2 linked regions of the Bombyx mori genome follow. The protein of the gene in region 2 interacts with the protein of the main gene of each other region in a biochemical or structural test. Links are inferred from orthologs where the notes say so. Each region holds a gene or a part of one and is shown on either strand. Other genes may lie near its edges.

Region 1 (3,663 bases), on a different chromosome or scaffold from region 2:
ATGCATGAATACGGACGGCGCGAGCCACGGAGTCGAGCGGTAGTCGCGGCGAATAATACAGTGATTAAATGAGTTTAGTTGTTTTCGCCGCGAAAAATGAACGCCGAAATTTTTATATTTTATATTTTTTATTATTATTTTTTTAATATTTTTAAACTCGTCGTGGCCGAACGGATAAGACGTCCGGTGTTGAGCGATGCACCGGTAGTCGAATATCAGGCGGGTACCAATTTTTGTAATGAAATACGTACTCAACAAATTTTAATGTTTACGATTGATTTCCACGGTGAAGGAATAACATCGTGTAATAAAAATGAAACCCTCAAAATTATAATTTGCGTAATTACTGGGGGTAGGACTTCTTGTGAGTCCGCGCGGGTGGGTACCACCACCCTGCCTGTTTCTGCCGTGAAGTAGTAATGCGTTTCGGTTTGAAGGGTGGGGCAGTCATTGTAACTATACTTGAGACCTTAGAACTTATATCTCAAGGTGGGTGGCGCATTTACGTTGTGGATGTCTATGGGCTTCAGTAACCACTTAACACAAGGTGGACTGTGAGCTCATCCACCCATCTAAGCAATAAAAAAAATATAGCTGAGATACTAGCTAGACCAGCTATTTGGAAGTCTAGCCACCCAAAGTATTTCTCGTACTTCTTGTGGAATTCTCCATCTATAGGTATACTCTGATTCTTATTCAAATCATGTACTTCACAATCTTTTCCAAATAATAGGTCCTGAACCAAAAAACTATTAATTTGTAAGCAATATCGAGATAATTTCGATATAGACATTTCGCTGTCGGACTTCCTTACGGCCTGGCCACGGGGATCGGCGGTGCGAACAGCGAAGCGGTGGGCGAGGCGACCATTCGCGCAGCACCGTTTGCAGGCCACGGGTTCTCCCGTTCGCCGCCGCGACTAGTAAGGAAGTCCGACAGCGAAATGTCTATATCGAAATTATCTCGATATTGCTTACAAATTAATAGTTTTTTGGTTCAGGACCTATTATTTGGAAAAGATTGTGAAGTACATGATTTGAATAAGAATCGGAGTATACCTATAGATGGAGAATTCCACAAGAAGTACGAGAAATACTTTGGGTGGCTAGACTTCCAAATAGCTGGTCTAGCTAGTATTTCAGCTATTTTATTTTTTTATTACTTAGATGGGTGGACGAGCTCACAGCCCACCTTGTGTTAAGTGGTTACTGGAGCCCATAGACATCCACAACGTAAATGCGCCACCCACCTTGAGATATAAGTTCTAAGGTCTCAAGTATAGTTATAATGGCTGCCTCACCCTTCAAACCGAAACGCATTACTACTTCACGGCAGAAATAGGCAGGGTGGTAGTACCCACCCGTGTAGACTCACAAGAGGTCCTACCACCAGTAATTACGCAAATTATTATTTTGAAGATTTCATTTTTATCACACGATGTTATTCCTTCACCGTGGAAATCAATCGTGAACGTTGAGTGTTGTTGAGTACGTATTTCATTACAAAAATTGGTACCCGCCTGATATTCGAACACCGGTGCATCGCTCAACACGATTGCACCGGACGTCCGTTAGGCCACGACGACTTTAAAAATATAAAATAAAAAATAAATAAAAAATATAAAAATTTTGGCGTTAATTTTTCGCGGCGAAAACAACTAAACTCATTTAATCACTGCACTATTCGCCGCGACTACCGCTCGACTCCGTGGCTCGCGCCGTCCGTATTCATGCATTTGTTTTGCTCGCCCGCCGCATCGCGCGATTCGCTCGGTACATTTCGCCGGTCGCTTCGCCGGTCGCCGGTGCGCGTGGCTTGTTAGGTACATTTCTATGCGCTTGTTTTAGTCGCTAGACGCTTCGCCGTTCGCACCGCGCGAATATTCGCATCGGCGAATGTCCCGTGGCCAGGCTGTTACTAGTCGCGGCGGCGAACGTGAGTACCCGTGGCCTGCAAACGGTGCTGCGCGAATGGTCGCCTCGTCCACCGCTTCGCTGTTCGCACCGCCGATTCCCGTGGCCAGGCCGTAACAATTATTGCAATATTTAAATGCCCAGAGCAAGCAACTCATTCCCACTTTGTGCAATCTTATAGATAATCATTGACTTTATAGTAAGCTTTATTGCACAGATGTTCTTTCATAGTTTTCATAAACCTATGTATATGTAGGTTCTGAACATCTTATGGGATCGTATTGACCTGGATTTAGTGTAGGCCGCAAAATAGACTGATAGAAAATGTTGATCTATTGGTAAACACCGATTCCTAGAATGCGTGAAACATTTTAAATGACATTTTCGTTGATGATGATGTTGATGAAAAAATATAATACATTTTAAAAGCTTGTAAATAACTTAGTTTTTGAAATAATTTGAGTAGTTGATATATAAAGAAGAAAACAGTCTTAAAACAATGGAAAGGTATTGCCCTAGATTTAGTGTAGGCCGCAAAATATATTGACAGAAAATGTTGATCTATTTGTAAACACCGATACCTAGAATGCGTGAAACAATTTAAACGCCATTTTCATTGATGCTGATGTTGATGAAAAAATACAACATTTTAAAAGCTTTAATAAATTTTTTCGTGATACTTACCCGCACAACCAGTTTCCGATCTTAGGCATATAATCTTTAAAGACTAAAGCCGCCGTGACGTACGTGTCGGCCAGTAATTGTCTGTTCCCGGCGACCTCAGCCAAATTAATCGCTTGGAGCGCTAGCAACAATCGTTCGCTGCGCCCTCTGTGATCCGACAGGATCTCCAGCTGGGCTAGTTGATGCGAAACAGAAGAAACCTCCGTTGCCCAGTGCAACGTAGCTCGTCTTGTTGGACTAAAATATATTGCAATTATCAGTAATCGAAAAATTATGTTATTATAGTGCGCCCGGAACAAGTTGGCCGCGCCTTAGGTGGCGACAGGGGTGAGGGGGCGGGTTGCATATTACTCGCAACGCACAAGAGATTAGACAGTGATTATCAATCTCGAGATATCGTGAACAATAATTGTTCAATTATTGAAAAGAATAAATAAATCGCAATGGAACTTTTAGAAAATTATATTGTACCTATCTAACTTTTACTTTCAGCAATCACTCTCCTTACACTTCGTTCTGATATCCCTGTTGGTTCTACTACTAATTTATGTATATTTGCATCAGTTTTAGCGCCCCTGCCTCTCCGTCTCACCGCTCACATACCTAAGGCGCGGCTAACTAGTTCCGCGCGTACAATAATAATTATATTATGTAGCGGCCCGCTTCGGCTCCGCTCGGGTATTTAACAAAAATTTCAACGACATTTGACGTTGTTTTATTTTTAAAAATTATAGAACACTTATTGCGGAATAACTTTAATAGCTATAGATATGCTGTCGCGACACTTTTTGTAAATAATAATAATGTGTTCTACAAAGGCGTAGTACATTATTTTATTCTATCATCAATAGTTTTCGCAGGGCACGCCATGTAAAAAATATTTTAGGTAATTTTTTTACACCTTCGGTTACATTATTGGAGTTTTAGTAAGGATCCCTAATTTTTTCATAAAAGTTTATAGCCTCCATCACTCGGGAATAGTGTAGCTTTCAAACAGTGAAAGAATTTTTCAAATCGGTTCAGTAGTTTCGGAGCCTATTCAATACAAACAAACAAACAAATCTTT
Region 2 (4,390 bases):
TATGACTATCGTAGTACATTCTTGGCAGCTGAGAGAACTATCTCCATGACTAAGAGATAAACATCCACCCTTGAAATAAGTTATAATATCAAGTTCATTCTATATCACCAGAGTGGATGTAATTTCCTCCAGATTGACACCCAAAAGCCTCTAATCATCAGAAGCAGGAACATTAGAGGGGCTTGTATCTGAGATGGTAGTAGAACACATGTGTCCCAAATCACCAAGTCACATACAGCTGATATTGATCTTAAACCCCTTTTCCAATTTCATTATATGGAAGTGTCTTATTTTTTCCACTGTTATTCTATAAATTCACAACTCGAGTGATTATGTATGTTAATATGTAATGTAACATAATTAAAATATCTATAAAGGCTATTTTCACTAAGGACACAACAATGGAGAAATGAGCGCTTTAGTTACTGTAATTAATTTCCATTTGTCTCTTGAGCATATAGGAGAACTTTAATTGTTGCCAATCTCTAATAATGTAGGGGACACAGTATGGGAAGATATTATAATGCCCAGATGCAAATTTCTTAATCACACTTCTAAAATAATTGAAAATTGTTGGTAAATGAAAGGACCCAAAATTGACTTAAATTATGACCAGTAATTTTAATGTTTGAATTTGATAACAGTAAGAATGAAAATAGGTAATTTATTTATGTATTTATATAATCTATTTATGTGTTTGGTAAATTTATCTATTTATGTATTTATAATAGTTACTTAATACTGTTTGTAAAATATTGTTACATTTTTTATTGATTTACAGTTTTTATCAGTAAAAAGCTGCAAGTTTTGAGACAAGACAAGTACTGTTTAAATAAACGTGCAGATAACTGTAAACAATATATATAAAAATAAGTTAGATAATTTTTGTTACCAATTAAGGAAACAACAAATATATTTAAATTTTTTTACTGCTGAATTAAAATAATTGACCTTTTTAAATTTATGTTATTTCATGAAGGTTAACAAGGATGATCACTAATTTAGAATTGTTTACATTTTTCAGTACTTTTATGAAAACTGTATACAACACTTACATAACACAAACATATACATCAATTATAAGCACATAAAATATTTCAAGAACATCAGAGGTTTCAAGAATATACAAAATTTGCAAAAACGAAAATGTGTTCATAATGCAAATTATGCTTAAATATTAAATAAGACTAAAAATTCTAAACTGAGTAATTTAAAAAAGCTATTTTAATATTCTCATTCATTGTTTTTTTATTGTAAGAAGTTTGTAAAAGATTTTCAAACAGCATTTTAAATATTATTTCAATATACTGAATGTACTATTAATATGTTTTATTTAATATTGCTGCCAATTCACAGTTTGGTGTTCTGACACTGCAAATTTTATTTATCAATAGTTTTATACTTTAAGATGTCTTAGTTGATTAAAAAACAAGGTTTCTAGTTTAATCCCTTTACAAATTTTATCATTTGCTACAGTGCTATGTACAATTTACATTCTGTGATAAATCTAGCCCATCGGTCAAAGTTTAATTCAGAATAAAACAAATATTTGAGATATTAATTTATCTTAAAAACTGAAACAAATGCATAAGGTTAACTTGGCAACAGTAAAATAGAGTTGACAATTCCATAGTTTTAATGAAATTTGAAATATTCTGTTATTTTCATAACATAATTGCTTTTTTATTCATTTGATACTTAGTCCTTACGTTCCATGTTAGACTAAATTTATTACACATTGTAAACACGCTAGATGCTTTAAACCTAAACATAAATGAAGCAATCAACCTTCACATCAAGCCAGCTACATACAATAAGCACGTGGACACAAATATTAATAAACGCAGAACAGTACATATTCAGCGCGTAATGAATGAGATGAAATTAATTTTTATTCATAAAACCTCTGATCTCGAAGTACAACTTACCATCAGCTCATGAGTCCATGTTTGCAACTAAGAAACAAGTTCGATTATTTGTAGGTTTTATTCATGAAAAACAAACAATAGTAAACAACATTTTGTTCATAATTAATGTAGATGATCATGTGAGTAATTTTTTTGTCAGTACCTATTATTTTCACAGATGCAGGGCACAGTAGAACGTTTACCTTTATATTTACCAATATATTATTAACCAAGAAAAATATATTTACCAATATTTCATTCACTATGTTGGCGACTTGCGAATCGGCCATTTCCGTGATTATATTTTCCTCGAACATGCGCTTGGATTGACGGTCACCTTTATACAAAAAACTAGCTAAGCACTGGAGCATCCAAACTACGCTTTCAACAAAACACCGAAAGGTTACAAAGTTATCGGTACATGTCTTTCAGAATAATAATTATGTATAAGATCTTTGACGGAAGAAGTTAACTCAAGAAAGAAATTTTAATTACAAATGCAGCTGTTAGGAATTATGTTCTTCTTAAATTTACATGCCAACGTTAACAAGTAAAAACTGGGATACTTAAACCATCACTACGCGAAATTTAATAAATGACTAAATGCATTGAATAATCTATGCTAAATGTGGACACTGGACAATAAAGGACTTTTTGGCGGGAACGCGAGGAGTGAAGTTGTGTGATTTGTTTTATTTTGTCTATTTAGTGTTTCTTCAGGTTTAAATGTGTAATAACGGTGGTTTATTAACTGTTTAATATCTGTGAAAGTGCACAAATGTGGGAAAATGAAACAAAGCTGCTGGACGTAACTTCTCGGGTTCCTCCAAAAAGTCCACTGAAAAAATCTCAGTAAATGACCACCATTTTACTGCGATTATATTTCATCCCATATCATCTCATTTCATTTAATTTCATCCCAGTTGATTAATGTTTCAAATTAATCATCTTCATTTCATTTCACTCCATATTATCATTTTTCATAAAATTAAGAATATAAGACATGACTTAAAGGTCTTAGTTACCAGGTCATAAAATCTCTTAAAAAAAAAAAAAATGGACAATAAAGTTTGAAATGGACTTTTTGGCGGGAACGCGAGGAGTGAAGTTGTGTCATTTGTTTTATTTTGTCTATTTAGTGTTTCTTCGGGTTTAAATATGTAATAATGGTGGTTTATTAACTGTTTAATATCTATGAAAGTGCACAAATGTGGGAAAATGAAACAAAGCCGCTGGACGTTACTTCTTGGGATCATCTAAAAAGTCCACTGAAAAAATCTCAGTAAATTAGCACCATTTTACTGAGATTATATTTCATCCCATATCATCTCATCTCACTTCATTTGATTTCATCCAAGTTGATTCATGTCTCAAACAAATAATCTTCATTTCATTTCATTATTTTTCATAAAAATAAGAATTCAAAAAAAAAATTAAAATAAGACATGACTTAAAAGTCTTAGTCACCGGGTCATAAAATCCCTTAAAAAAAAGTTTGAACTTTACTCTTTGTATAAAATAATTCCCGGTTTACACTATTCCAGTCCAGTGATCGAATCCAGCACTGGATTGCTTACTGGAAAAATGTAAACTGGCACTGGATGCACTGAATCCAGTTAGCATTCCAGTCCAGTAACTGGATTGGCGGTCTACTTTTGAATTCAGTGCGACCAATCCAGTGCACCTGGATCCAGTGCCATTCCAGTGCTGACACAGTAAGCACGTGTTGGTTGTTTTTGCGGATTACTGGGGCGAATAAATTACTTAAAAATGGTGAAGAAATTATCTGACGATCAAATTTTAAAGCTTCTTATGTTATACGGAGAAAATCCTTGTTTATAGCACATATCATCAGAAGATTATTTAATAAATATATTACACATGTGTCGGTGCAACGTCACTATTTAGTTGACTTAAATAGTTTTCTTTTTCTTTCTTTCTGGCTTTTGTTACTTAGATTTAAATACAACTTTGCCAACGTCGGGTAGTGGAGGTATCAACATAATTTGTTAAGATTTTATGTGGAAGAATAAGCAGACTCGGTTTTTTAATATCACAAATTATATTTTATTCACATGACACAATCTTATTAAGTAGAGAATGTATCCATGGTAACAAGTCAACATTACTAGTGCGGCGACACGCAGCTAGTGCTATATCTCAACATAATTATGCTAAGACCTATTTAGTTTAATTTTTTTTGCATTAAACAGTTAGTAGGAACTACAATTTTATACTATTAGCGTTTATGAAAGATCCAAGCAAGTAGACTACCGTTTTAGTGGGGAAAGTTAATAGGAAGTTCATGTTGATGGGGAGGGGGATTATGTTTGTTGATAAAGTATATAGAGGATCACACTTATTGTTAAGGATACAGTTGAAGGATATATGATCCACAGTACCTTCCTCGGATTCACAGTTGCATATTGCTGTATTTCTTAGTTTGAATTTGAACAGTTGAACAGGTGAGTAAACGTGACCCA

Evidence for each region.
Region 1: the proteins of mediator of RNA polymerase II transcription subunit 23 (region 2) and sterol regulatory element-binding protein 1 form a complex in vitro, tested with the Homo sapiens proteins (2 studies listed by BioGRID). The link is inferred for Bombyx mori from reciprocal best matches to the Homo sapiens genes MED23 and SREBF1.

The regions. Positions count from the first base shown.
Region 1 is NC_085119.1:8,261,767-8,265,429, forward strand, and holds part of sterol regulatory element-binding protein 1, read right to left. Parts: intron 2,835-3,663; coding exon 2,598-2,834; intron 1-2,597.
Region 2 is NC_085107.1:8,842,243-8,846,632, forward strand, and holds the start of mediator of RNA polymerase II transcription subunit 23, read right to left. Parts: upstream 2,960-4,390; 5' UTR 2,279-2,959; coding exon 2,156-2,278; intron 1-2,155. UniProt on the Homo sapiens protein: Required for transcriptional activation subsequent to the assembly of the pre-initiation complex. Component of the Mediator complex, a coactivator involved in the regulated transcription of nearly all RNA polymerase II-dependent genes.